Linked DNA regions of Pelodiscus sinensis. The protein of the gene in region 2 interacts with the protein of the main gene of each other region in a biochemical or structural test. Links are inferred from orthologs where the notes say so. Each region holds a gene or a part of one and is shown on either strand. Other genes may lie near its edges.

Region 1 (15,363 bases), on a different chromosome or scaffold from region 2:
CTATTTTTGTCAGAGCAATAAAGCTTTTAGCTTACTCGTTTAAAATAAGATGTTTTATCAAATGTATTAGAAATTGTTACTTAGAGGAACGTACAGAAATTATAAGACACATACGAAAAAAATGACAGTATACCAAATCCTCTAGAGCAGGGGGTCTCAATCTCCTAGCACCTTCCCAATTTGGCCTGCAAAATATTTTGAAAAAAGTTATTTAATAAGGTTTGTGTGGCTCCCAACCCAAGAGTGTGTACACAAAGGAGGGGAGGGGAGGATTACACATCTAATCCTTACACATGGTTCCTAGCAGTGCACAGGCTCCCAGCACCCACATAGTCTCAGCCCCAAAGGGTGCAGCTCGGTCCAGGAAGCCATGAGGCTGCCTCTGCTATGATGCACTGACCAGGGATCCACCCAAGCTAATGTGCTTCTGCAGCCAGTGGAGCAGGACAAGTGGTTTTTGCTTTCAGTTACCTTCGGTAGAGGCGGGGGATCCCAGCAGGAGGAAGTAACAGGTGTGTGTGTAGGGGGGAAGGGGGCATTCCAGTTTGAGGACATGGGGGTGTCAGGGTGAGGATTTAGTTTCATGTCTTTTGTAGGATCCTGGTCTCAGTCTAGGCTCCTGGACACACTGGGAGACACTATCAACTTGCACGTACTGTATTGTCAACCCCAAGCATTTAAAACTCATTAATCAGCCTCCCCATCTTCCCAAAAGAGGGTGACTTCTTGAAATCACAGATAAAAATACACTTGGGGATCTTTTCCGTTGGATGTGGCATTTGAGCTCTTTGGCTGAAATTGGGGCACATTTTCTAGCTTTTCTCCACAAACTAAGAGATCTAAAGCCTTTTTTTTTTTTTTTTAAGGGAAAAGGAATCTGGGATTCTCTCCTAATACTGTGCATCAACAAACAACCATAATCTTCTAAGTCAGAGTGACCACAGTTGATAGTGGTGCATGAGACATCAGGTAGTTAAGTTCCCAGATCTGTCTTAATTCTAATTAGGGATGCAAGGGAGTAGTCGACTACACAATTCACCTAGGCTTATTGGATAGTCAAGTCCACTACTCATATTCCCCACCCCTTGCTGTCTCTAAAAAAGCCTGTTCCCCCAGCACAGTCTCCATGGTGCTGCCTGTTTCCATCCTCCCGCCCTCTTTGCTGCCTCTATTAGAGGCGGGGGCTGCTTCACAGCAGCTGCCGTCCGCAGGCGGTCCCAGCAGAAAGTTGAGACCTCTTGAAGACAGGGGCTGCTGCCATAAAGTATCCCCTATCCACGGCGGCCTGGCCACAGACAGGGGCTGCTTCACAGCAGCAGCCCCTGTCCTAGGAGGTCCTAGTTTCCCACTGGGATCCCTGCAGACAGGGGATGCTGCTGGCTAGATAGGCAGCCTGGCTTAGTCCTGGCTCGCAACGGGTGTGGGACCAAACCCCACTGCAGCTCTGCAATTTAAAAGGCAGTAGGAGCAGGGCAGTAGCAACCGCTCCCCCCTCCACTCCCCGCAACCCTCCCAGAGCCTACTGCATTTTAAACTGCAGAGCCACAGCTTGGACCCAGACAGGCAAGAGTTAGGACTGAGCCAGGCTGGCTCTCGATTAGATTAATCGAGCAATTGATAAAAATTCTATGAATTACTTGATTAGATACCTGCCTCTTAACATTCCTAATTCCAATAACGTTCCTGAGGCTTTCCAGGAAAAAAAAAAGTCTAATTATCAGGAGGTTGATGATCAAACCAGCGAAGACGGTATTACTGAGATATAGTCAGGTTCACAAAATGAGTTAATAGTTTCATGGCTTATACTTATGGACTGGATGGGCTCTGCACACACCTCCACTGGCCCACAGGGAGGTCCCAGCAGTGGCATGGAGCTAGAAGTAGAAAGCCATTCTAGCCCCACTGCACTGCCAGTTGTGGCAGTGCAGGCCCCAGCAAATTCTAAATTGCTAGAGAGTTGCATGCTGGGTTGGGGGGGGATACATGTGGGGGGAGCATGCAGGCCAGGATGGGGGGCTGAGAGACATGCGGGGGGAGGGGACTGTCAAAGAGAGGGTACATGCTGGCCCACTAGGCCTGTCACCTGCCCTAAGGGAAACTGAGCTTGAGACCCCGGCTTTAGAGTAATAGATAGGCTGTCAAAATCAGGCATTGAAATATTAAGATGCAAATATCTGACATAAATGTCCCCCTTTTCATATACCATGCTCATTCTGTCTGGCAAGATAATCCATACCATCAGCTTCTGGTACTCCACGTTACTACACCTAATGAAGCCTTCCCTTTGTATAATGACCTAAATAACTTCTCTTGGCTTTTAAGGAGGTCAACCAAGCAGCTGTCATTTCTGGTTGGATTCTTATGCTACATGTGACGGACCCGCCCCACCCCTGTTCATAGTTCTAAAGTGAGCAAGAATAAACTTAAGCCATAATTAATTCAATTTGACATTATTCCCGACTTTGTCCTCACACCCAGTTTCCACTATTTGGTCTCAATATGCTAGAAAGTTCTGCTATCCCATACACCTTGATGACAAAGGGTGATATCCAATATTTAAGTTGTAATAAAATGAACGTTTGTTTGTCTTATGCCATAACTTCAACCAAATAGCTTTTGAGGGAAAAACATACCTGTCCTGCTACTGCAGCAAAATACCCATACAAAGGATCTTGAGTCTGCCCCGGAAACACTGGTCCTCCAGGAGCAGCACCATACTTTAAAAATAAGAAAAACGATTTAGATAAAATTAATTTTTAATTGACTACAAAATGCAGCGACTTACATTTCAGCATCAATTTTGAGGGTCACTTTTAATATACACCTTGTTGAAGCATATAAAATGCTTTAAAAGAGAGCACACGACTTGGTGCATATACTTGCTACACCGTAAGGCATGCCAACTTAAAAATCTTACATTTGAGCTAGCCCAGTGATCTAGCAGAAGCACAGAATGCCTAAATTGGGTGTATATGTCACCGTCATTATTGGAGGTTTGCATGATAGCTCATTCCATACAATCCTTTGCTAATCTAGTCCTTTTGATCCACATAGGATACCATATCATCCATTGAAGATCTTCTTCCATGTTATGTTTTCTTGCCATCAACTTTCCCTTCGAGTGCTATTAAACATTTATCACCCACTGTAAACTGAATATGTCTTTTCACTAGCATTTGCTCAATTCTATAGTTCAGATTGGACCTCTATAGTCTGGTCTTCAATCTTTTGGCAACATGTGTGGTCTGGTCTCTTTGTGGGTGCTCCAGGGTTGAAGCATTTATGTGGAAAAGCCAGGCACTGCACTCAACTCCCCTGCTCTCCCAGAGCTCCGCCAATAGGTCATTAGCTGTGCTCAAGTTCAAGGATAGAAGGGTATGCTCAAGGTGCCTGCAGAGCCCCATGGGCAGGGGCCAGGAGCACAACTGGGTGGCCATGGGACTCAGTGGGCTAACGCGGGGTTTGGTGCACTCCCAGCCCCCAGCTGCAGGGCTCCACAGGTGCCCTGCCTCTTCCTGAGCACCCCCACTCCAGTTTCTGCTCAGTCAATGCCAGCTCCTCCGCTGTCAGACAGAACCCCACAGCTGGTGGCAGCAGCGGGAACGCTATCGGATCTTTTTTTGTTTTGTCCACCTTCAACTCTAAATTAATCTCCACTAAATTAATCAGATCCCATTCAGAATCAGCCACCAGCACTATATAACCTGCATAACAAATATGCCTAAATTAGAGAGTCAAATTTATACTCTAGTTTTCTCCATTACTGGCACAATGTGGGGACCAAAGGGAGAATATTCTCAGGGCTCACCAGTTTTGATAAAAGGACAAGAATTGTTTTTTTTTTTTTCAAAAAGAAAGTAATTTTCAATTATTAAACCTTGACATGCACATAGCGAAATAATGGAAGCATATTGAAATGACAAAAATATTTCAATAGAAAAAACTGTATCAAGCTCTGTAACTTTATAGCACCTGCTTACATTCCTATTGGCAGTCTCCAGAAGCAAAGGACTCAATGCTTACACAGTTACTTTCTCATTTCAGCTTAAATGTCAAAATAGAAATCCATTAAGTATCTGGTTAAACTAAGTGATAACAAATCTACTCTAGACCCACTCTCCCACAAGTATCATTGATAAAATGGACCATCAAAACAGACGAAACTTGGCTTATGTAGTAACTCAGAATACTATCAATTTCTCAGTACCCTATGAGTCCTCCACATTCGGTCAATGATCTGAATCTCATTACGAAAATGGATTTACAGTTGGCTGCAGAGCCACAGCAGGGCTACCTCCCGGGGCTGGCGTAAGCCGGAAGTGAACAGCCCCAGCTCGCGCTAGCTCAGGGACCTCTGTGGCTCTGTCTCCCCTGCTCCGCTTGGGGGAAACAGCTTGTAAGCCAGCTCCCCCCAGCACTGACTCCTTCTTCCCCTCCTATTGCTGCCTCTGATACAGAGGCAGATGGGGAACGAGTATTCAAGTTGTCACTCAACTACTGACTAGTTGCTTACATCCCTAGTGCAGACAGTTTCATAGCAGCAAAACAAGTGCTTCTGTCAATGCACCTCAAGGGTCGGCCAACTTTCTGAAGCAGTGTGCCAAGATTTTACCCTCCTGCCCTGTGCCGTGATGCTCTCCCGGAAAAGACTCTCTCCACCATGCACACCATGGACCACTTGGGTCAATGCAAACCTTGGGTCAATGCAAACCACCAATTGCTAATGGAAACTCACCATTAACTACATAATTATGCCCGAGCTGTTTTTCTAGTGCTGCAGCTAGGGAGAATGGTTTAATTTAAATTAAACAGATTAAGTGTTTTAACTTTCTCATGCTCATTTATCAAACTTCATTATAAATAAAGTAAAATATTAATTTATGTCCAACACAAAAGGTTTCAATGTTTTCTTTATTTATGGCAGAGGTGAGGAACCTTTTTGGGTTGGGGGCCACTGACTATAGAAAAAAAATCAGTTGGGGACCACATAAATTTGAAGGAGATTTTTGCTTCTCAAAACCCCAACCCTCACTGACATAGACCCCAACTGAGACACCTCACTATTCTGGCACTCCAGCTCCATGGGGTGAGGGGAAGGAAGAGGGAGGACTGAGGTTCATGGCTTCCTATAGGCCAGATTTACTTTCTGGGGTTCTAGAGTGAGTGGATTTTGTAGACACCCTTAAACTCTGGGGTGGGAACAAAAAAGAGGAATTCAACATGTGGGACAGGGCTGCCAGCGAATGGGATGGGATGCAGAATCTGGGCGGGAGGTGGGGTTCAGCAGGGGCTGAGGAGGATGGGGTCTGGAAGGGAGTTTGGCAGTAGGAGAGGTTGTGGGGTGGAGGTATAAGAGGGGCTTGGGAGAGTAATGCAGAAAAGGTGAGAGGGTGAGAATGCAGACAAATAACTAGTCGGGGAGAGAGACAAAGAAGTGGAGAGTATAGAAAAGTGAAGCTTCTGCAACGTAAAATTGTATCTCCTCTCCCCCAGCATCACTCCCCTCAGCCACGCGATTCTCCAGCGTGATCCCCTGCATCCTGGTTCATCTCTCCTCCTGCTCCCACATCCCTGTGCTCCCAGCACATTCACCAGCAGCACTGGAATTTGCAGGGGTGAGGTAGGTGGAGGGTAGTGCAGAGTCACTTCCCTGCCTCATCTGCAGGCTGCAGCTCCAGGGCTGGGGAAGGCAGAGCCTGGGGCTAGTTCCCCACCCCTGCACACAGCTTGCAGGGAGCAGCATGGCACAGCCCATTACACCAGAGTCTCCAGTCACCCAGCCCCAATCTGTGGAGCAGCCCCAGGCCAACCCTTCCCAGGGTTCTAATCCCGACCCTGACAACAGAGACACAGAACTGGAGCTGGCTGGGGCTCCATCATCTTGTCTGCCAGCCTGCTGTTAAGTAGCCCCCTGACCCAAACCCTTCCCCCCCAGCTCAGCCCTTGGCTGAAAGCTCAGATGTCACTGGAAGAAGGAAATGACAAACTGTAGTGCCGGGTGGAGAGGGTTAAACCCTTAGCACCTGGGAGATGCTTGCCAAGGGGCAGGGGCAGCTCCAGGGACGCAGAGCTCAGTGCAGGGTTTTGCTGGGCCACTCTGGATCCTACACCATGCCACTCTTATGCCTCCCCTGCCCCACCCCTTCCCAGCAGGAAGCCAGAGCTGGTGCTCCAGCCTGCAGCTGTGCAGCAATCCTGAGGCTGGCAGGGCTGAGCTCCTGCCCCACATGGCACAGAAAATCAGCTCATGTGCCATTTATGGCACGTGCACCATAGGCTGCCAACCCCCATGTAGCTCACAAAGGCTTGGTGAGCAAAATAATTCCACCCTCTCTAACCAACATTTATATACTGACATTTCCAGTATAGGCCTGACCTATGCTCCTGTCTGTTGAAGCACAAGCTCATTCTTCATTTCCAAGCTCAGTGTTACTTATACCCACAAAGAGAGCATTCATGTTTTAACCAAAGCTTTGATTCTAACTAAATTATTTTTGTTTAACAAAGGATAAGTGTAGTATGTTATCACCTCTACTGAGGATAATAGAAGGTTGTCTCTTGACTTGGTTTTGCTGGAGCAGGGAGGGGATTCTAATCAGGTAGCCAGCTTTTCAGAGGCATTAGGCATCTACAGCTCTCACTGATTTCAATTAATACCAGCACACTGAAAGAGACTTCCACATTATTAGAATTCTATTGTTTACAGTCAGTTGTCTGGGCCAGCAGCTTTTTTTGTATTCCATGAAAAAAGGGAAAACTATGGGACACAATAGCTTCCGGGTCTGCTAGAAGCAGCAGCAAAAATCCCCAGCTAACTGTAGCAGAAAAACAAAACCATTAACCACTTCAGCCTTGCTACTGAAGTTTGCTGCTCTGACTCTCTCTCTCTCTCTTTCCATCCTCCATCGCTCAGGTACTCCAACCGGTTTACATTTGTTCTGAGGATTGTTTGCATGATCACCCTAACCAGACAAATACTTTCACGAGGGCTAAGAACCAGCTTGGACTGAACCAGCATAGGACTCGCAGGAACAAAACATACCGAGGTCAAGCCGAGTGGCTCTTCGAAACCTCCCCAACCTGCCGCTTTTGTAAAGAGTGATGGGGGGGGGGGGGGGAAGAGGGGAGGAGAAGAGTACTCTGAAGTCAGCAACTGAAGCTGAGCCTTTAGAGCAGTGTTTCCCAAATGGTGTTCCCGGGAACCCCAGGATTCCGCAAAGTGAAAATAAGGGTTCCGTGAGAAAATTCCATTACAATAACATGTTATTATTAAAAAAAAAAAATATTAAGCATTTATGGATTTTATTGAAAACAATTTTCATTTGTGTTGCTCTCATGACGTTGTTTAGCATTGCTTTACTATTATCCTTACTTATTTGGGGTCTACTTTTTCAGCTATATATATATATATATGGCTGCTATTAGGGGTTCCACAAAATTCTTTTGAGTTTAAAAGGGTTCCGTGGCCAAATAAAATAGGGAAACACTGCTCTAGAGAGAGGCCGCATATGCGGAACAGCCACTGCGCAAGCAAGCGGTTCAGAGGCAACGCGACTAGGCCGGGCGCGCCCCGCAAAGGGGGCGCGGCGGGGCAGCCGAGCTCCCGGCTACACACGTCGCAGGCCCCCAAAAGCGCGTCTGACCCCCACGGGCTCCCGCAGGCACCTACAGCCCGGACACCGCCACAGCCCCGCGCGGGTGTGTGTGTGTGTGTGTGTGCGGGGGGGGGTTGAGTCGCCACTTGCCCCCCCTCCCCCGGCACAATGGCGAGTGGGGGAAACGCCTCCCCCGAGCGGGTGGCCGTTCCCCTCCCCCGCACAGGCAGCCGGGCGGCTTACCCCGCTCTGGTAGTAGCCTCCGCCGGGGTGCCCGGGATACGCCATGTCCCCTAGCGCGCCTCTGTCGGCCAGTCCCCGACCACTTCCGGTGCTGCGACGGCGCGTTATTTCCGGTTCCTGCCCGTTAAAAAACCCCCAAACTGCCGGCTATGTAACGTGTTTTGCTTTTCTTGTTCCCCTGCGTGTCTGGCGTGGGCGGGGGGCGCAAGGAGGGGGGGGGGGAGTCGGAAGGTGCAGCGACCTTTTTTTGGTTCTCCCCCGTTTTTTTTTTCTCAACCAAGTTTTTTTCCTGCTATTTTTCAGGAGTTTGGTAAAAACATCGGGCAAGCCTAGGAGCGAGCTGTACTCATTTAAAGGGACAGAATCACTGCCTAATGCAGGCATATACTGTCACAGCCGGGTCAGCGTGCGTGTTATAATCCTGCCAGCAGGCACTCATTGGGAGCTGATCGTGTAATAGGAAGAGTTAGAATTAGTGTTCAGGCAACAGTCGTTCCCACAGTCTGTCACCAGGCAGTTTCTACCAACTGCACAGGCTGACAGTTCCTAAAAGTAATGTGCACAGTTGAATGGGAGCGACTGGCAATGAGACTATTTAAAATGGCAGCTGACGGTGCGAGTCGCAAAAGCCAGCTACTTATAGAATCATAGAATGCTAGAACTGGAAGGCTGTGTCTAGACTACATGGCTCCATCGATGGAGCCATGTAGATGAGGGTTGTAGGCAAAGGGAAATGAAGCCGCGATTTAAATAATCGCGGCTTCATTTAAATTTACATGGCTGCCGCGCTGAGCCGACAAACAGCTGATCAGCTGTTTGTCCGCTCAGCGTGCTAGTCTGGACACTCCGCGCCGACCTGAAAGCCTTTTATCGATATCCCGGTTATGCCTCGTAGGCTGAGGTTTACCGGGGATGTTGATAAAAGGCTTTCATTTCAACAGGGCAGCGTCCAGACTAGCGCGCTGAGCCGACACACAGCTGATTAGCTGTGTGTCGGCTCAGCGTGGCAGCCATGTAAATTTAAATGAAGCCACGATTATTTAAATCGCGGCTTCATTTCCCATTGCCAAACAAACAAATCTACATGGCTCCGTCAACGGAGCACCCCAGCACCCTGTCCCCTGCTTCCACTGGCATCCTGTCCCCTGCCGCAGAACCCCGTCCCATCCCAGCACCCACTGGCACCCTGTCCCCTGCCCCAGCACCCACTGATATCCTGTCCCTTGCCCCCACTGGCACCCTGCCCCTCCTCCCACTGGCACCCTGTCCCCAGCACCCACTGGCACCCTGTCCCCGCCCCAGCGCCCTGTCCCCTGCCCCAGCACCCACTAGCACCTTTCCCCAGTACCATGTCCCCTGCTTCTACCAGGACAGTTGGGGCCACATTAGTGAGGCTTGGGGGTTTTGGGAAGAGTTATTTTTTTGCATCTCACTTGTGTGGCCACAACTGACTTTTCTGTGGGTCAGTGACCCCTGACTCAAAACAGGTTCCCTGCCCTTCTCATAAATAAAGACAATGCTGAAACTTTTTGTGTTTAACATAATATTTATTTAAAAATGAAGCCTGGCCAACAAACCCCCAACTGGGGCCAAGCCCCCATCTGGCCACAGCTTCATAACACTCCTGCACCACCCCACCCCCTGACCCTAGATCTGAGCCTATCATACACTGGAACCCCCTGTCCTGAACCTTTCACATCCCCAAACTCCTGCACTCCCACATCCTCAGTCTTCTGCCACAACACTTCTGCACCATCCACACACTGCAAATCTGTGTCCTGAGCTCATCATACTCCCAACCTCCCTTTCCTGAGCCCCTCACATATCCCAACCCAAACTCTTGCACCCTCACATCCACAAGCCTGTGGCTTGCTCAGTACCCCAACCCTCCACCTGACCCCAACACTCCCCAGCCTGGAGCTACCTCCCCGACCCAGTGTTCCCTTCTCCACCTCCTCCAGCATCCAAATTCCCTCCCAGAGCTTGCACCCCTCACCTCTTCCCAAACCCAAATCCCTCATTCCCACCCCAGAGCCCACACATCCTGTCTCAACCCAGTGAAGGTATGGCTAGACAGCAGGAGTTTTTCTGGTATTCCAGAGGTATCTCGGAAAAACTCTTCCGCACCAAACATGCTCTTTCAGTAACCCCTGTATTCCTCGTTCCATGAGAAATAAGGGGGCTTCCGAAATAAGGGGTTTTTCTGAAATTTGGCCCAGTCTAGACAGGCCAAATGTTGGAAAAAACTCTTCCTACAGAAGAATAGAAAAAAAAAAAGCGGCAGTGTAGCCGTACCCTGAAGCTGTGTCTACATTGACACCCTTTTCCGGAAAAGGGATGCTAATGAGACAAGTCAGAATTGCAAATGCCGCGGGGGATTTAAATATCCCCCGCGGCATTTGCATGAACATGGCTGCCGCTTTTTTCCGGCTCGGGGCTTTGCAGGAGAAAAGCGCCAGTCTAGACGGGATCTTTCGGAAAATAAAGGCTTTTCCGGAAGATCCCTTATTCCTCTTAAAATCAGGTCCTTTCTCCCCCGTCCCGCCCTTGGCTTGATCTGGTAGCACTTTCCAGCAGTGTGGAACAGACATCAGGGGAATAAGTGAGTCTGACGCCTCCTGTGTCTGAGACCCTTGCAACAGCAGTGCGGGGCTAGAAGTCACTTTGGTCCCTAGTTTACGAAAGGGAAGCTGAGGCACACAGAAGGGTAAGTGACTTGCCCAAGGTCATGCCACAATTATCATCTACTTAAATTTGATTCTTTCATATACAGTATTCTCCATTAATTCATTCAGATTAATATTATAGAACTAGCGGAGGTAATAATATTTCAGCCATCTGAGGAAGCTAGCAGTGATTCCTCTTATTATTCTTTAGATTTTATAAGAAATTAACATGCATGCTATTGAGAATCATAGCCCCTTTCCCAGCTCACATGGAAAGAATATTGAAGGGCTGTTGGTCAAGCCTAGACTAAGGCATAGTTCTGTCAGATCTGGCGTAGTGTTCAAAATATACAAATAGTTAATTCAACGTCATGGACAGTGTCATTGTAGCCATGTTGGTCACAGGATAGTAGAGAGACATCGTGGTTAAGGTAATATCTGTTATAGGACCAACTTCTCTGGTGAGAGAGACAAGCTTACAAGCTAACACAGAGTTCTGCATGTCAACCATTCATTCAACCTTGCAATGCCTTTTTTCATATGCAGTTCTTCCAATGGTGTTTTATTCTGACCTATAGCATCCTTGCGATTTTACTCTTTAGTGTCTATGGGTACGTCTACACTTGCACCGTAGTTCGAACTAGGGATGCAAATGTAGTCGACCGAAATTCCTAATGAAGCGTGGATTTAAATATCTCGTGCTTCATTAGCATGATCTCGCCGGCGCATTACTCTGCTGAACAGCTGTTTCGAAAGTGAAAGTTTGCGCCGGGATGCATTAGTTTGAACCAAACACCTTGGTTCAAACTAATGTTACTCCTCAAAGAATAACCAAGGGGTTTCGTTTGAACTAACATGTCCCGGTGCACACTTTCAGTTTCGAAACAGCTGTTCAGTGGAGTAACGTGACGGCGAGATCATGCTAATGAAGTGCAAGATATTTAAATCCCCGCTTCATTAGCAATTATTTCGGTCACCTACATTTTCATCCCTAGTTCGAACTAGAGTGCAAGTGTAGACGTACCCTTTAGCATTAGCATTCACGGAACACAAATTGCACAAGAGCCAACAATGTGATGATGCTGTTTTGAAAAATGTTTTTATTTTGGGTGACATAACAGGAATGCTATTTTTAAGGTATTTGGTAATTGTCAGCACTGGTAGAGTTCTGGGCACTGCACTTTAGGAAAGATATGGACTAATTGGACATAGGAGGAGATAATAAACATTATAAAAGAGTTAGAAAATCTGATCTATGACAAAATGTTAAAAAATCCTGGGCATCTTTAGTCTTGAGAAAAGAAGACTGAGGTGGGACCTTATAATAGTCTTCAGATATGTTAAGGAAAGGACTGCTGTAAAGAGAAATGTGATCAATTGTTCTCCATGTCCACTGAAGGTAGTATAGGAAGCAATAGGCTTAATCTGCAATAAAGGGCATTTGGGTTAACTGTTAGAAAAAGCTAACTATAAGAGTAATTAAGCTCTTGAGCAGGCTTCCAAGAGGTTTTATGGATTACCAGTAATTGGAGTTTTTAAATAACAATTTGGATAAACACCTCTCAGGGATGGTTTAGGTTTCTTTGCCCTGCCTCAGGGTAAGATGCTGAACTTTGTCTTCTTGATGTCCCTTTTAGTCCTACATCCTTATAATTCTGTGATCTCACAAATTAATGTACATGATTTTACCTCATTTGCCATTTGCCTATCTCTTAATCTTTGGACTCCTATAACATAGGATGCATTGATCGCTTTGAAGAGCAAATGATCATGTGACAAACTAAAACTGTAAGAAAAAAAGAGTTCGTTGGCTTGTGATAATACTGAAGTATCATAGGAAGAGTCTTGGCGTACAAAATGAACTTCATTGTTACAAATATAATGTTCATAGTAACAAGATTTCAAGAAACACCATCCTAATTGTCACCCTTGTTTGCAGTCTGAGGCTAAGTCTACATGTTGGAACTGAAAGTTTTATTCTTTTTATATTTGTATTTTAGGTTTAGTAATGTAGTAATATAATATATATATATAATTTTATTTAATATTGTGGTAAATTAAATTCTTTAGTTAAGTATATATCTCTTATATTTCCCTGTTCTAAAGTTTAGTAAGATTAGTAAGTAAAGAAACAGGATCTCATATTGTGTCTATGTTAATGAGTATAGAAATATTGAAGGTCCGGGCCTTCGATGTGAATTGTTTTGATTTTGCTTTTGCTTAATATAAAACAATACTGTTTACTTTTTGAGGGATTTTGTGAAAGACTATTTGTGTTAATGAGATAACATGTGAAGGTCATCATTAGAGCCAGATGGTCAAGAGAGAAGGAGGGTAATGGGAGTGAAAACAAACTGTAAAAGACAGACTGCGAAAAAACATATCAGCATCAGAAAAACCATCAGTGCGTACCCACGGTCAAGAATTGATCAGATTGGCAGAATTGATGGCTCTAAAGGTGAAGGGTGGGCACCAAAAGTTAACCGTAACCGGTCACAGACTGACACAGTGAAATCCATAGAGGAGAGGATTATAAAAGCAGGGTGCCTTGCTATGGGACTTTGGGTTCGTCTTGCCACCAACTCCAGAGGAGCATCAGATCGATCGACCGACAAAGGCCCTGCTTTTCCTCTGTGTTCAATCTAGCTGGCTGCTAGACTGATACAGAATCTGGACAGATAACTATAACATCATCTGGTGGGACTGTGTGTGTATGGTGTTTGTGTGTGAGTGATTGAAAAGCATATGCAACTGTTGTATTCTCAGTAAACTGCCTTTCCCCAGTAAAAGATCTCGTGTGCTTCATTTAAGCAGTAACATACACAATAGCCTTTTTTCAAAAAAAGCTATGCAAATTGTGTTCCAGATAAACAGGGCCAAATTGCGGAATAACCTCCTCTTTTGAAGGAGCCCTTATTCCTCGTAGAACGAGGTATACAGGGCTCCCCGAAAGAGCGCGTTTGCTCTTCAACAAAAAAAAGCAGAAGAGCAAACGCGTTCCCTGGAGATGGCAGAATTTTTCCAGGATACTTCCAGAATCCCAGAAAAACCCTGCAGTCTAGATGTACCCTCAATGATGAGAGCATAAAGGCACACAGCGCTAAAAATGTCTGACAATATTTTCTATTTTCAGACTTAATTTTCAGAAGATGGCAACATAGTGAGTTATGGAAGAATATAAGTTTGTCAGATTTGCTAATAAAACTAATTTGAAAATATGAATTATTACTGTGATGTGCTGGTTCCTAGAAACATGGCCTATAATAAATCCTATGTTCACATGCGTGCTCTTACAGGGAGCTGAGGGACAAGAGCAATCTATTCATTTGTTTTTTCTATTAAATAAAAGCACAGCCTCACAAACATTAGCAGGGAAAGAGTCAACACCACTTGGCAGACAAGATTATATTAAGTGCATTTGCTGAAAACATTTATACTCTGTTCCTGAAAATTATGCTGCATTTATCAAGAACATAGCACAATATCCAGTTTCATCTAGATGTGTGGATGAAGACTTTTGAGGCCGAGGGTAGAGGGCATGTAGAGTATCAGCAGACTTTTAAATAGTTTCGGATACAACCTAGTTCATTCAAAAAGGTTAAAAAAAATGTGTTCCTCAGAAGTTTGAAGCCCAAGAATAAGCCATTCTTAGCAGGATGAATTAGTAGTATCTAAAATGGTGAATACTTACGAGGAGTAACAGTAGTTCGGACTAGGAAGCCTAGTCCGAACTACCTAGTCCGTGCCGCGTGTAGCCGCGCGGCACGGAGTCTGCACTAGCGGACATTTAAAAATGGCGGCGCCCGGCTTTATGCAAATGAAGCCCGGGAAATTCAAATCCCGGGCTTCATTTGCAACTCCGGTTGCTTACATTACCACCCTAGTTCGAACTAGGGTGGTAGTGTAGACATACCCACAGAGAAAATTTGTTTTTGTTAAAACGCACCCAAAACTCCATTTGAACTCAGTGAGAACTACATACTTAGCAATGAAAAATATAAGGTCTTTCAAACTGGACACCCCAGATCAAATGCTGCCTTTGAGAATTTTAGTTTTGCTTCAGTGAATTAAGTATCTGTAACTGGAATATAATAAGACCTGCTGCTGCATTTACATGGGAATTTGGGGTGTAAAGAACTTCAGTGGGAATCTACAGGTAAGGCCAGAAAACAAAACTTCATTTTCACACAAAAATTAAAGGTTTTGACATATTTTTCTGTTCTGACAAGGAATTAAAATTAGACCTTTTGGCTTTTTTTGTGGAAATAAAAGAGGGAAATAAATATAGGTGCTGAACTAGGGTTTCTGGGTGCAGAAGCATCCCTTGGTGTGAAGTGATTTCCTTCATGTTGGGTTTACAGTTTGGTTCAATGGCTGTCAGCACCCTGGCGATACAAATTGTTCCAGCACTCTTGGAAATAGACTTAGCCATCCCAGAATAGCCGATAGCTCAGTGTTCAGAATCAGGATACTCATCTGGGATGGGTGAAAGGTACAGGTTGTTGTTCTGAATCATGCCGGCAAGTAGTTGAATCTGGGCTTGCCACATCCCTGGTGAATACCCTCACTGCCAGTTAATAGAGACATTATCTCTAACTTTGGTCCATGAATATTTAATTATTTATATAAAGTGGAACTACTCCACCACAGAGTTTGAACATGAGATTGACTCTCTATCTCTCTCTACCTCTCTCTCTCTCTGTTGAAACAGATACATTTCCATGAAAGTTTCAATAATTGTTTTCCAATGAAAATTTTTTTCTCAAAAAATTCCCAAACAATTCTATTTATAATAGAGTTTGGCATTTTTCTCTTCTAAAAATGAGAGACTGATTTTCATTGTGTTGTGAAAGGTGAGT
Region 2 (15,639 bases):
GAGGTGTGTCCACACCTCAAGTGCATTTTTGCACAAGAAAATCTACAGTCAACAGAAGAGAGGGCTTTTTGCAGTGTAGGTACACCTCCTTCTACGAGGCATAACTCCATCTTGCGCTACAGCTCTTGCGCAAAAAGGCATGTGTGGATGCTCCACAAGTGTTTCTTGCGCAAAAATAGCCTCTCTGAAAAAGCACAGGTGCTCTGATGGCCATTCTGTGAATGGCCATCAGAGCTTTCTTGTGCAAAAGCGTCCATGCAGTGCAGATGTTCTCTTGTGCAAAAGCGATATGCTTTGAGGTGTGGACGCACTTTAGTACAAGACGTTTTTGTGCAAGAACTCTTCCACAAAAGACTTCTTGAGCAAAAACCCTGCAGCGTAGACACAGCCTAAGGTGTCTGGTGAGAAGCAGAGTACTCCCACCTCTTTTTGCCCTTAACTCCTGTTAAAGTTAAGGGCGTTCTGCACCTTCCAAGATCAGAAGATAGAAAAGGAACTGTTATAAATCAGTTTCATAAATGAATACAAATATGTTTCAATACAATCTACTCCTAGCACAGAAATAAGCATCTATTTCACACACCACAGTCAGTGAGCAAAGATGACAGATCAAGTAGCAGGATACAATTTCTTAAAACACGCCACAGCATCAGTGTTTCTCACAAATTATGCGGTCTTTACTGCTGCAACTGCCAGGGCATCAGGAAAGGCAAAACAGGAGGGTTTGGTTCTTTAAATCCAAGATGATAAAAATAATGAGGATAGTTGTTCCACTTCAATTGTTGCCTAACCGAGCCAGCAAATCAGAGTTATCATCTGTGTATTTAGCTCTTGTATGTGGTATTATTCCAGTGTTTATTAACCACTTCTCAGCTACCTGCTTTCTTTAAAATAATTTACAAAACTGAACCACACCAGACTCCCACTGAAGCAAAAATGGCCATTCATAAAAACTTCTCCTAGAATGAACATGACTCTCAGCTCATAATTATCATAGAATATTAGAACTGCAAGGGACCTTGACAGATCTGCAAGTCCAGTCCCCTGCCCTCACAGCAGGACCAAGCACCATCTAGATCATCCCTGATAGATGCCTGTCTAACCTACTCTTAAATATTTCCAGTGATGGAGATTCCACAACTGTTAGGCAATTTATTCCAGTGTTTAACCACCCTGATAGGCAGGATGTTTTTCCTAATGTCCAACCTAAACCTCCCTTGCTGCAGTTTAAGCCCACTGCTTTTTGTCCTATCCTCAGAGGCCAAGGAGAACAAATTTCTCCCTCCTCCTGGTAAAAACCTTTTAGATACTTGAAAACCACTATCATGTCCCCTCTCTTCTCTTTTCTAAACTAAACAAGCCCAATTATTTCAGTCTTCCCTTATAGGTCATGTTTTCTAGACCTTTAATCATTTATGTTGCTCTTCTTTGGCCCTTCTCCAATTTCTCCACACCTTCCTTGAAATGTGGTGCCCAGAACAGGACACAATACTCCAAGTGAGGCCTAATCAGTGTAGAGTAGAGCAGAAGAATGACTTCTTGTGTCTTGCTCACAACACTCCTGTTAATACATACCAGGGTAGGAATGGGGGAGAGAGCATCTTGGAGGCCAGTGTCTAGGCACTGGTGGGGGGTTATTCCTGATGCAAAGGAAATGAGTTGGGAGGGAGGCAAAGGATGATGACCCTCAAAGTGGGCAAACTTGGAGAAGTGGTAGGTTTGTGTGTACAGATGCAATGCAAAATAACACGTGACTACTTAACATTAATTACCATAATGAATATAAAAATAAATTAATTGCCATAATATGCAAATGTTTCTATACCCATCCACCACAAGTTTTTGAATGAGTTTGCCAGCGCGCAGTATAAACGTGGTTGGGAACCTCCATTCTACAGTACACCACTTAAATCCTGCAATTAGCAAGGAGAGTATTTACAGATCCAGTAGCTCCATCCAGTACCTTGCACAATCTGCATGGAAGGGCTGGAGCTACTATTTCAGCTTAGAAACCAGAGCAGCAGCAACCCCTGGTCCTGGATTGAGGGAATCAATTTAACCTCTGCATTTTACCTGAATAGAAACTGAACATGTAGATTGTACGAAGGTGGGGTGACTTTGACCCCTACGTTTTCAATATACAACATTCTATAGTAGTGGTTCCCAACAGTACTGCAGGGATCTGTGGCAAGTTTAAAAATAAAGATCAGGCCCACTATGGTTGGCCCAATCCTTACTTTTCCTCCCCCTCTCCCCCGCCTTCTACAAGGAGGGGGAGGGTCCATGAAACGTTAATAGATTGAAAAGGAGTCCATATGCTAAAAGAGGTTGGGAAGCATTGTTCTATAGAAACCAACGGCCCATCTAGCCAGTATCTCATCTCCTGACTGGCCAGCAGCAGGTGCCTCAGAGGGGGTGAGCAGAACAGTTCATCAATTGATCCAACTCCTGTCACCCATCCACAGCTTCTGGCAAAGAGAAGGGCATGTAACTTGCTCATACGACCCCGGACTCCCATCTTGCACCATACTTTTCCACAAACCAAGGCTGACAGCATCCTTTCCACATGGGGAAAAAGTAAAAAGAACCTTTGAAGCATCTCCATTTTACCTCTTTCCTGCTCTGATCTCTGGACTATAGACTTACCCTAGCCAAAGACCCAAGGACCTTCCGATCTTTTGGAAGTTACTAGAGACATTACAAGTTTGCAGTTTGTTTACTCTAGGATTTCCAGGTTTCTGGTTTTGAAGGGAACAGCTGATTGAAAACATGGTTGTAAAATCCTGATTAATCATTTAACAGGTTAAATCTAAGGGGCAGGCAAGAAGCAGCTCCTGCCCCTATCAGTTAACCAAAACCAGTAAGCCTTACCTATTAAAGTTAAAGTTTAACTGGTTAACTTTTTATATCCCTAAATCATTACCAAATAAAAATTACTAACACTGAAAAACAAATATTTTTAGCTTGTCTAGTTTGCTTAATTCCATTAATAAATTATAGCCTTAACTAGTAAGCTTGCCACTCAAGGGAAACTAAAGGAAGTTTATGAAACCAAGGTATAGTTCCCTTAACATAAGTTTTAAAATACCAGATATTAAATGCATTATATAGATCTGAGCTATATCACAGTTTGGCTGTACTGCAAAATCAACTGTTGAAGGATCTGGTTGCAACACTTGTTTCCCCAAAACAAATAAAACAGACCAGTTTATCAAGTTGTCAAAATCTCTGATTAGCAAATTAACTGCCAGTTCACGCTTGTGACCTCTGTAACACTGCCAACATATGCAAATAAAGCTGCCTCTCCTTAGCTTGTTTAAACTCCCTCCCATGTGTCTATTTATTCACCTGTTGTGTAAATTGTTTACTGCAAGCTTTCTGGGGCAGGGACTGTGTCTTATAACAATTCTCATGAGGCCCTAACCACTATTTTGGTGTCTTTAGGCAACACCTACCGCAAATACAAAAAAAGCGTTTGTGTTTCTTGGCCTGCTTTTTTAATTTTTATTTGAAAATAATTATTTAAAAGTTATTCAAATGGTTTGCATGGACACCACAGTTCAATAATACCTCCCATATTACAACTAGACTGGCATACACAACTCTCCAATCTGGTTCAATCCTCAACCACGGCTCAAATACTGTTGTAAACAGTTTTCAAAAATTAACCTGGCAATAACATTTACTGAAATAGCTTTCAGTATGTGCAGATATTTTTCAGAAGAGAAACTGAATCACTTGCATAATATTGCACTACGTACTTATTAAACAATAGCCAGCTGCATGAACACAGCACATGAACTGACTTATCTCTTGCATGCCTTAGAATAGCATTTCTCAGTCTTTTTGATACCAGGGACCATCTTCTTGCTGCCTTCCTAAATAGTATAAGGGAGATCTCACAGACCAGTCCACTGGTTTAGAGTATCCCAAAGCAACACTGAGACTTCACCCTTTGTTAAGGGAGTTTTTTATTACAAAACTGATTCAGTCAACAGAAGCCTTTTTTAAGAATGTAGCTTAAGTTTCAGGATTTTTTCTTAACAGTTTGTGAAGCATGAAAGCATTTTCGTTGAAGCATTATTCAAATATTCTTATAATCCACCCTGAGACACAGGTCAGCAAATAATATTGACCACTGGAGTTTCAAAACTCTAGAATTATGGATCACGATTTTCTTTTTTTCTGTTCAAAAAAGTAAAATTGCCTTTTAAGTGTTAAGAAAAACGTATGTTTATTACACCATGAATGAGTTAGTTGGAAGACAGACACAAACAAGTGCTTGAAAAAAATATACTGTACTAGAGAATAAATAGGCAAGTTTTCCTGATAAAAGGAGTCTAAATCATCTTTCAGTTTCAATACATTTCTACCCTCACAACGGCAAGGACAATGTTTGAAATGGGAACCAAATGTAAACAAATGCAGTGCTGTCTTCTCTAGTCTGCAAGCCACTCTACAGTCAGCCTCCCCTTTTGGTCATAACCTCTGGAAGAAGCAGAGAAACAAGACTGATAAGAGGGGGTAACTATTATTACCCTGGACAACTATGAAAAGGACAAGAATTGTGTTAGTTTCACAATGGCCCGGTTTGGAAAAAAATATGAGCAGCAGGGCAGGTGCTAGAGCTATTGGCACTGGATTCCAACAGCGGTCCTCCCTCGCTCCTGGTCTTTGCTAAGGGCCTAGGACTAGTACAAATATTGTACTATGTACCACTGAGAGCTCTCAATTGCCTCCTTCCTAGAAAGTGTAATCCAAAAGCCACTCTAGAACTTTAGTTTTCAATTTGTTTGTTAGCCACCCTCTGTCTGCAATTTCTGCAGCCCCCAAAGTTTTCCTCCTTTGCAAAAGCAGCAGGAAAGAGATGTGGACAGTAAAGCAAAAACATTAAAAATCTAATAGAAAGAGCAATACAAAGTTGTAGCTGATCCATTTTATTGGGTGAACTTGAAAATAAAAGGGCAAATTTAAGACTACCTACCAGTCTTAACTTGGTCGTAGGAAAATACACAAAGGATTAAGAGGAACATAAGAGCATCAACACATTATTTCAGCTCCTAATTATGCAAGCAGACAAGTCCGAGAAGAGCTTTGCGGACGGAAGCCAAGTGTGAAAGGGGTTTGCAGAGTAAGCACGAAGACGCGGTCTCTCCGGCGTCTACAGAGCTAATCTCAGCACGGGAACGATTTACGCGTCTCTGCGCCAGGAATCCAGCCAGGAGACCGAGCTCGGCTCGAGGGCAGCGCGCCCCGTGATCGCCGCGGGGCTCTCCGGAGCTCGGGAACAAGCCGGAGTCTCGTTTTCCAGGCGGGCGCTAGGAAGGGCGAGGGGAGGCGGAGAACGGGGCCTCGCCGTGGGCAGAGCGGCCCGCACAGCGTCTGCGCTACGACGAGGCCCCGTCCCGTCTGACGCCAGCTCGCGGGGCCCGGCCCGGCCCAGCCCAGCCCGAAGCCGCCGGGCCGCGCCGGAGCCCCCACCACGCCAGTCTCCGCCGGGCGGGCAGGACTCGGCCGTCCCCGCGGTGCTGCCTGGCCCCGGAGCTCTGCGCCCGCCCGCCCCGCTCACCCCGGGGAGGGGGCCCAGCCCTGAGCCGCCCCCCACTCACCTGAGCCGCGAACCCGCCGCCTCCGCACCGCCCGCAAAATGGAGCCCGGGCCGCCCCGCCCCGCCCCTCTAGCGCCTCAGGCGGGGGCGCTGGGAGCCGCGCGCCTCTCCCCTCAGGCCAGCGGGGAGCGCGCGCCGGGCCGCTTCCCCCACCCACAGCGCGAGGCCGCCGCTTGCGGGGGGTCCCGGGGTCCCGCCCCCGCCCCGCCAGCGTCTGGTGCGAGTCCCCGGGAGCGCGGGGCCGGGCACAGGGCGGCCCCTGGGCCTGTCTTAGCAGTGACCAGCCGGGGGCTGCGAATCGCCGCCCTGTCTCGACACGTCCCTTGTGACTGAGCGTCCCCGGCCTGCGGCGCTTTGCCGACGCGCGAGGCTTCTCCTCAGCCCGGCTGCTGCAGCACAGCTCGCTTAACGGGCAGCAACCCGCCAACGGAATTCTAGGAGCACCTCATCAGCGGCGCATCCCATCTGTGCCAGGGCGGGAAACCTCGGCCCCGCTTGTCGGGATCCAGCCCGAGGCGCAGGGCTGAGCCAGGCTGCCCCGCCAGCCTCCCTGCTGCCCCGCACAAGGCTGGAGCACACCATGTATTAGCCTGGGGCTCGGCTGGGGGGAGTGTCTTTCTCCTCAGGAAGGAGGTGAGTTGGTGAGGGCTTGAGTTGGGGTGGGTAGGAGAGATTATCACTTGTGTATGGCCCCTGACTGATTTTTCTCTGGTCATCAGGCCTGCAAAGAGCAATTCCAGGCCTCAGGGCAGAGTTGTCTATAAGACACACAGGCAATGCCAGATGCAGTCTGCCTGACACTTAGGCAGTGCTGCAACATCACTGCTGGGTGAGCTCATCCAACATGGCCAGAACTTCCATACTGGCTAATCTCACAAACCCAATGACCCCTGTCCCACCCCATCCATCTCCCTCCCTCAGACACTCCCTCTCCTCCCCTTTCCAGGCTGGGGCAGGGACACAAGCTTTAAGAGATTTTAGGTGGAGAAGGCTCAGCACTGGAGCAGGGAGTTAGGGTACAGGGAGATACAGGCTCTTTGGCAAGGCATTTGGATGTGAGGGGCTCTGGGCTGAGGCTAGGGCAAGGAGCTGGAGTGCAGAAGGAGGTGCAGACTCTGGGAGGAGTTGGGGGATGTGAGAGGAGATGCAGGCTTTGGGGGAATGTAGGTGCAGGAGGGGGTACAGACTCTGGAACCATTGGGTGTGGGTGCTAGGCTGGTGCAGGAGGGCAAAGGCTACAAGTTAGTCTCTAGCTATTAGAGAATGACAACAATGGAAGAAGCAAATTATCTCACATCTACCTAATGGCAGGATTTTACACCTCCCTCTGGATCACATGGAGAGGACACCAGGAGAGGAAAGATACTGGACTGGATAGAAACCCTCCTTCCACCCCTCTGTGGAAAAAAATGAGTTTACCTAGCAAACAGCAGCTACTTTGTAGAAAACAATAGTCAATGTCTTGAGTACATAGTGTACATAGAGAGAGTCAGCAGATGCTAACAAGCATGTAAGAACAAATTCACCTTCATTGGGGAGTATATTTACTCACCATCTTTTTGACTTCCTACTTCTGAAAGAGAACCCTTCTCCCCAAATTGTCAGCAGCACACAAAGCAAAATTATCTTATTTCAATAGCCCCCCCACACACATTGGAGTAGTGGCATTCCCCCAACATCTACAGGAGGCATAATAGAATTGAGGGCTGCATGTACAGACCTAGATAACTTGTGTTTTTGTAGTACTCATCCTCTGAAATTCTAAAGGTATTTTACAAAAGGTGAATATGCCAGTTTGTTTGGGGGAGCTGGGAAACCAAAAGCACAGAGCTTACGCAAAGGCTGCCCAGCAAGTCAATAGCAAATCTAGGAACAGACCCTAGGATTCCTGGCTGCAAGTCTTATGCACTAGCCCTTAGACACCATTGCCTCCCAAAGTGCAATACAAAATGTAAGTGATGAGGCAGCAATTGTCCTGGTTTTAATATATTAAATTTCAGTCAACTGCTATCAGTCACTCTCCCCCACTTTGTATCAGCAACGGTTCTGGTGATCTTTGCACCAACAGATTAAAGTACAAAAAGCCAGCAGCATGTGTCACTGAAGTGAGTCTAAAATATCTACTATCAAAACTTCTGCACCATCTTGTGACCACAGTAATTACAATGCAGCAACAGTAGTGAAGCTTGGCTAAACTGACTTACCCAGCCATGTGTGCAAGAAGCCAGTTCTGTTCAGCTGATAAGTAGAAAGAATATTGTGTTTGTTTAGTGGCAGAGGAAGGGCCACTCCCCACTGAATCATCTGGTTAGAAATCCCTCCCACAACACTAGTGAGCAGCAAACTTCAACTAAAGGATTTGTAGGTGGACTGCATCCATTATTTCTCTGGCTCTGCTAGGTGAAGCCACGCTAAAAAGCTTACTCTGCCTGCAATCACCACAATGCATGGAGCAGGTCTGATTCTGCTGTGTTATTTTGGCATGAGCATGTCAAGACATAGCTCAAGCTTATGGCAGCAAAAAGTGTGACATGTCAGTGCAGCTATTTGCCTGATTTTGTAATTGGTCACACCTCTTGAAATACAGTCATCTAGACAGGCAAGTTTTAACATGAGCCTCTATTTTTACTTTGCTTAAGCACACACATCTTGAAGTAGCACAGTGCAAATTTTTCCATAATTTCTTACTCTACTCCCACATGAGTGGTCATCAACACTATAATTGCTCTGAACAATGTAGCATTAGGCCACTTCATAGTGCTCGTGCAAAAAATCTGATGCAATATGCCATGCAAATATGGAACACCTCTTGATTATGCTAACCAACTGTACCAAAGAACTCAAAGAACTACAGTAGAACAGAGTACAGAAAAGCAATGTAAGAACTAGGGGTCACCAAATGAACTACGCAAGTTTAAAACAAAAGAAAATGTCTTTGCACAATGCAGTCAATCTGTGGAACTCTGTCAGAAGAGCTTGTGAAAGCCAAGACTAACAGGATTCAAAAAAAGAATTAAGTAAGTTAATGGAGGATAGGCCCATCAATGGCTGTGAGCCAAGATGGCATCCCTAGCCTCTGCCAGAAGCCGAGAATAAAGCAACAGGGACTAGATCACTTGATGATTACTTGTTACGTTCATTCCCTCTAGGGCACCTGGCATTGTCCATCATCAGAAGACAGGATACTGGGCAAGCTGGACCTTTGGTCTGACCCAGTATGGCCATGCTTATTTTCAGTTAGGAGCAGGGCTTGTTTGTCTGTTTGTGGCTTGACATCGGCATCACAGTGAGAACAGTGTAGTAGAAAGAGCCTGAGATCAGTGGGCTCTGATGGAAGGTCTAGCACCCAAATTAAAGTCAAGCCCTGGGCTTTTACAAAGCCAATGCCTGCAGGTTCACTGTCCAATACATGAACTCAGCAAGAACAAGATTGGCATTGACACAAACACACCTAAGGATTAAGTATTCATGTAAACACATGCCAGAGCATCCTAGGACCATATCAATGGGAATATATTCCTCAAAGAAGATAAGGACACACTGACCCCTCAAAGAGCAGGTCAGGCTAATAGGATGTTTTGATCAAACATGTACAAGGTAAAAGCTGGTAACCAACCACCTCAGAGGGGCAATACAGAATTTGTTTGTATGAGTGTATAAAGAGGGGGTCTCAGAGGGGATGTGTCTGTCCAGCAAAAGGGAAAATCCTACTATTGACTGAGCTGGTCCATCGTAATGGGGGAACACGTACGATTGATTCTGTAGTCTCTACAGCACTTTCCAAAGTGGCATGCCAAGATTTAATTCTCCTGCCCTGGGCCTCTCGGGGGAGTGGGGTGGAGGGAGAAGAGGGGCTCTCTCCACCACACACTCCGTGGACCACCTGGGTCAATGCAAACCTTTCTGTGGACCATCAATTTCTAATGGAAATTCACTGTTAATTACATAATTATGCCCAAGCCATTTTGCAAGTGCTGCAGTTAGGGAGAACAATTTAATTTAAACTATTAAACAGATTAAGTGTTTTAACTCTCTCATGTTAGTTTATCAAACTTTAATTTAAATAAATTATAATATCTAACAAAAGGTTTCAATGTTTTCTTTATTAATGGCAGGGGTCACTGACCCACAGAAAGATCAGTTGGGGACCACACAACTCAGAAGCAAAAAAACTCCTCTCAAAACCCCCTACCCTCACTGATGTGGCCTGCAACAAAGACTCTGACAGTCCAGCCCCCACAGGGTGAGGGGAAGGGAGGAACTGAGGTTCAGGGCTTCCCATAGGCCAGATTTACTTTTCTGGGGTTCCAGAGTTGGTGGATTTTGTGGCCCCCCTTAGGGTCTGTGGTGGGAACAAAAATGAGGGGCTCAGTGTGCAAGACAGGGTTGCCAGCGAGTGGGATAGGGCTGCAGGATCTGGGCAGGAGGTGGGGTCTAGGATGTGGTGAGGAGAGCAGTCTGGAAAGGAGTACGAGAGGGAATTTGAGGGCGAGAGGGGGTTGGGGGAGTAATGCAGAAAAGATGAGAGGGTGAGAATGCAGCCAAATTGCTAGCTGGGAAGGAAGGCAAAATGGGGAGTAAAGGAAAATGCAGCTTCTCCAAAGTAAAATTGTAAATCCCCCCCCCCATCTTCCCTGTGCTCCAGCCTTGCTCCCCTCAGCCCATGATCCCGCCCAGCCTGATCCCCTGCATTGCCCCATGCCCCTTCCCGTTCTGCCCCCACATCCTCCTTCACCCCTCCCCATCCCTGTGCCCCCAGTGCACTCACTAGAGGCAGCAGCGCTGGGCAAGGAGAGGTGGTGGGGGATAGTCTCTTCTCTGCTCAGCCCAGCCCTTTGCCTGTATCTCCGTGGCAGATGGAGCCTGGGGCTGCCCAGAGCTGGCTCCAGCCCAGTCGAGTGCAGTGGACTGCTAGGGAAGGGGCTCCCCATCCCCACAGACATCCTACAGGGAGCAGCGCAGGCCCAGCTCTACAGAGGAGGCCCCCCACTCCCCTCCTGAAGCAGGAGGCAGAGCTAGGGATACACGCGTATCCCACCTCCCTGTACCCCACAGAAGGAAGCCAGAGCTGGTGCTGCACAGAGGGTGGGGGGAGCAAGGCTGAGCTCCCACCCCACCTGCTAGTAAAAATCAGCTTGCTTGCCACTTGTGGTCTACAGGGGTGTCTGGACTACAGGGTTTTGTCGACAAAAGTGGACTTTTGTTGACAAAACTATACCTGCATCTTCACTAGCGCCGAGTTCTGTCAACATTATATCGACAGAACTCAGCAGTTTTGTTGACGGTGGTAAACCTCATTCTATAAGGAATAACACCTTTTGTCGACAGAAGGCATTATTGCGTCTACACTCTCATGTCAAAAAAAGCAGCTTGCTTTGTCGACAGAACTTGATGTAGTCTAGAGGCGCTTTGTTGACAGTTTTGTCGACAAAGCCTGTAGTCTAGACGTATCCCAGGATATTAGGACTATGCTTCAGCAACCAACCGGGCTTAAGTATCTTCACTCTTGAAATGAGTCTGTGCTGCTCTTGGGCAGTTTGATTGGAACCTACTAGCGGGCCCCAAGTTAGCTGCCAGAGCTAGTGCAGTACCTAGAGAGAATACCACATGCAGCTAACAACTGATGAGGGGCCGCCAAAGTCAATGGTTTGAAAGGCTTAGCAGTCTCACTGTCTAAGTTTCACCATGAGGACCATATCACAGCGAGGGAGAATGCTTATCAGGCCTTCAACATATTCTAATGAAAATAAAAGCAAAAACACACAATTTTTTAGTCTCCTGTGTAAATGCACCAGTCTGTTCCTGCATGTACGGTAACATGGCTGACTCATGATCACATCCTGAGCCTCATTTATGCTGTACTAAAAGACTTACCCAGCATTGCTCAGGTCCTTCAGGTCAGGGAGCTGGCAGTGTGGGAGATGCATGAGTAAAGACAGAGGGTTGGGGATGTGGGATGCTCAGGGCAGGAGACAGGAGATGTGGAGGGTGCAAGAGTCAGGGTTGGAGAGGAATAAGGGGCTCAGAGTGGAAGAACAGGGGACTCAAGGCAGGGGATGGGAGTGACTGTCAGTTTCTCCCTGACACTGTGTGGCCTGGAGGCTGTTCAGGCTGCTCACTGATGCTCCCCTTGCTGCCCTCTGTAGTCATGCATGAGTATAACAGTCCCTACTATCCCAATCCTCCCTTTCAGTTTGATACAAAACAATTACCTTCTATGCACATCCCACTATCCTGGCACAAGCAAACCCTGACCTTGCTTTAAGTTATGATAAGAGGAAGTTGCACATCAGATTTGGTGGTCCTAGCTCTTATTGTTTAGGAGAAGTTCTTGAACAAACTGACTCTCAGCCAGATAGACATTTCTAAAATATATAGTAAGATTTTGCAGCTTTAGCTATTTGTATAGTAGCATCCTCTAGTACTCTGCATTACTATGTATGCACAGGATCCACTAAAATTATCTAAGTACATATTGAGATGTCATTCTTGGACATACTACAAGTATAATGAACCAATTTTCTCTAGCCGGTTGATCTCCTTTAACTGCCTCTTTCTCTGAATCATTATAGTAGAAGTCTGCTGAAAGCTACGTATTGAAGTTAAATAACAAAGGTTAAGTGAAGCACTCCAAAAATCAGGGAGTGAAAGGTAAGACATTGTAGGAATGAGGTATTTAAAATATTGAGTGAACTTATCTCCACCTCATTTAACATACACATTCCATTTCCTTGACAATACAGTAAGAATCTTAAGTTTTGTTAAAAGAAATTTCAACTGTCTGGACACTTTACAAACTCTGCAAGAGATATCACCTCTTCTCTGCTTCCTAGAAGTTGTGTAAATTTTCTTCCGAGATGCATAGCAAAGACGACAACCGTCTAAATGGATATTGCGGTAATACATGGCTTTATTTGAACAGAAAGCATACTACCACACAAAAGCTGCCATTCTGAAACTGGTTAGAAAATAGGGACAGAAAATCCATCACTAGAAAACCCAAGAAGCAGAGCTTTTCCTAAAAGGATACCCAGTAACCTAAAAAAAACCCTGCATGGATAAAAGCATAAATGGAATTGCTGAAAAATTTAAATTTTCATTTCCACTAAATGATATGGCACTACATTCTATGGCTCCGTACGCATGCTATGGTGCATCCAGCTGACCCTATTCATTACCTGGGATCTCTTCTCTGGGAACTCTACTCAGCATTGCTGCTCCACATTGATGAAGATCTCCTCCCACTCCACATTATATAATACGGGATATAAAGGTGGTTGTTTTTATCATGTAATTAGTCAATCCTACATCCAATTTAAAGGTGTCTATTACCATTTCAAAATGTTGACATGCTTCTTTGTATACTGTTATCTTAAACAGTGTAACAACTTCCCTTTTCATTTTGAGAACTTTGTACTTTAATGTAGTCTGTCGATGGCACTCTGTTAACTGAAACCAATACAGTTTCATAATTTCAACCCATAAAGTATTATTGGGGGAAATCAAGCTTATTTCACCATTGTCATATAGCACAGTGAACTGCAAAAGGAAACAATTAAGGCCAACTTGCAAGACTATTTTGCTTGGAGAACTAATAAAATAGCAACATCAGAAGAGTTGAAAGACTGTAAATTGAAGAATTAAGAGGGAAAATGAATTTTTGTTCGTTCAAACTTGTTTAAACAAAGCCATGTTTAACATTTAACTCTAGTGACTAAACACACTGGAAAAAGGAAACCTTTAATGTAAATTCAATATTCATCCATTTTGAGCTTTAAATTAAGATGCCAGAAAGCACAATAAACCTCCTGGAGATCTCAGCAAACCTCTACCAAAGCTATGAGTGTCTACAGGCCTTTGTCAGATATACAGAAGCAGAGAGGACACAACCAGTTTTTTAAAAACATTCTTTACAGGCCACCATTAAGAGCCAGATTTGAATTGTGCATCTCATTTCAAAATATGTATCTGAGAAATTAACAGATGGAACCAGTGCAATACTAGCTTTAACATTCAGCTGTGAATCACAGTACAAAGACAAAAATATGGAAGTTATAATTATTTGTGCTGTCTGGCAGGAGCCTCTCAGGCTCTCTTCTTTGAATCCTCTGGTGTGCTAATATTTACAAATGACCAGGCAAGGAAGTTACTCTAGCAGATACATCTGCTCAATGACAAGTCTGACTTCAAGTGTGAGGTCAGTTACCAACCTCACTTTTCACCTCACTTCAATAACCAACTTCTACTTTGTTTCTGCATACTGTGTTCTACAACTCTGTGTTCTTCCACAAATGATTCAACATATAGGTGACTCTCAGCTGACTGTACTGCTCCTGCTCAGATTCTGGTGCCAGGCAAAAGCTACTGTACAGAAACAGTGACCAGCATCTAGCATAATGGAACCTTGGTCCAGGATGAGGGCTCCCAGGCACTATGAACATTCTGAAGACCTGAATGAAGAGAATTTTTCTTGTCCAACTGCCTTCTGGTAACCATGAAGGTACTTCAAGGCATACTTGAAGGCAAGTAGAGTGACTGACCCCAGAGGCATACTATAGAACTTGGCTCGCTCCCGTGAGCTCTAATTTCATCTCCCGAAATGAATATTTTGAAAAGACACTATCACTACATAGTGAGACAGAAGAGACACCTACATATAAAAAGTCGCTCTTACAAGTGGAAAAGAAATTTTATTTAGACTCAGCAATCCTCACAATACAATGGAGTTGGTTTGTTAAATACATGGTCAGTCTGGGACAGTAGTTCATAAGCACTGAAGAGGAGCCATCGACTATTTTTAGCAATGGGCTCACACCCAATTTGATTCAATGTCTGAACCACAGGGCAGAATGTGAATCAGAGGAATACTGGGGGATACTGAGTCATTTAGGCAGATACATTATGGTCCAACTGAATTCAATAGCAAAACAGAATGCTGGGAGAGTAGCTCTGCTGTGTCTTCAGGCTCTCAGGTGTGACAAGGCAGGGAGCTCCTTATAAGCTCAGAAGTTTTTCATTGAGAGCAATCTGTGACTGCGTGAGATTTGCCAAGTAGGTCACCATCAGCAGATCCTGAGAAAGAAAAATGGACAGCAGTTAGACTGATTAGAGTAACAAAGAGAAGAGAGAAAGGAGTGATGTCAGAGACGTGCAAATGTGCTTCATTAAAGGAATTTACAAATAGTGCAGTTGCTAAGCACTATTCTTCAGAGTGACACCTTTGGCTCCACAACTTATTTTCCATTTCAGACACTCACTGGTCTGGAATACCGACCATTCACATAAGATTCAGCACTCAGAGTACTTTTTATCTATAGCCCTCAGAGCATTGCAAGCATTATTCTCATTTCACAGACAGAGAAGTAGCAACTTGTGCCCTTAGCAATCTCTGACCACCTTACACAGCAGTGATTCCCTTTATCCAACAATGAACTGAAGTAGTTGCTTAATAGCACACACCACCACTACACAGGACTGCAAAAGAATACGTGAACACTCTAGTCCAGGGATTCTCAAACTGTGGGTTGGGACCTGAAAGTGGGTCATGACCCTATTTTAATGGAGTTGTCAAGGTGTAGTAATTTGTTATCAGAGGAGGGTCTCAGTGCAAATGAAGTTTGACTGGAGTAGCAGCTCTCAATCAAAACTGCAGGGAGAATGAAGGGAAACAGTAATTACAAATACTGGATTTTAGCTAGAACCTGAGGGGCAAAAACCCTATCCCTAGGGAAAGTGATCAGGGCCTTCGTGGGTATAACACAGCCAATGCATTCCCCAAGGCAGCATGCGTGTGTGTGGGGGGGGGGTGTCAATGAATCAAACCCAACTCAGAGGATATGCTCCTACTGAATAACTACCACCTTCTGCTGTAACTAGTTGATCCCTGGATGTCTCATCCAACTACTAAACTAGTTGGATCCTGCTTATAACACTTGCCACTTCTACAAACAGTGCACTTGAGAGTAGGGTTCTAATTTATAGCTGGGCAAACTGAGAACAGAGGTTGTGACTTTCTCCATTTATCACAGGAA

The links.
Region 1: the proteins of ANXA7 (region 2) and SRI interact in a biophysical measurement, tested with the Homo sapiens proteins (2 studies listed by BioGRID and IntAct, with this or other methods). The link is inferred for Pelodiscus sinensis from reciprocal best matches to the Homo sapiens genes ANXA7 and SRI.

What each region holds. Positions count from the first base shown.
Region 1 is NC_134712.1:216,577,820-216,593,182, reverse strand, and holds the start of SRI (sorcin), read right to left. Parts: upstream 7,979-15,363; 5' UTR 7,884-7,978; coding exon 7,839-7,883; intron 2,718-7,838; coding exon 2,634-2,717; intron 1-2,633. UniProt on the Homo sapiens protein: Calcium-binding protein that modulates excitation-contraction coupling in the heart. Contributes to calcium homeostasis in the heart sarcoplasmic reticulum. Modulates the activity of RYR2 calcium channels.
Region 2 is NC_134718.1:4,144,803-4,160,441, forward strand, and holds the start of ANXA7 (annexin A7), read right to left. Parts: upstream 7,939-15,639; 5' UTR 7,821-7,938; coding exon 7,813-7,820; intron 6,077-7,812; exon of another isoform or gene 6,058-6,076; coding exon of another isoform or gene 6,053-6,057; intron 5,731-6,052; exon of another isoform or gene 5,610-5,730; intron 5,570-5,609; exon of another isoform or gene 4,985-5,569; intron 1-4,984. Other genes in the region: EIF3F (eukaryotic translation initiation factor 3 subunit F), read right to left, coding at 14,603-14,680. UniProt on the Homo sapiens protein: Calcium/phospholipid-binding protein which promotes membrane fusion and is involved in exocytosis.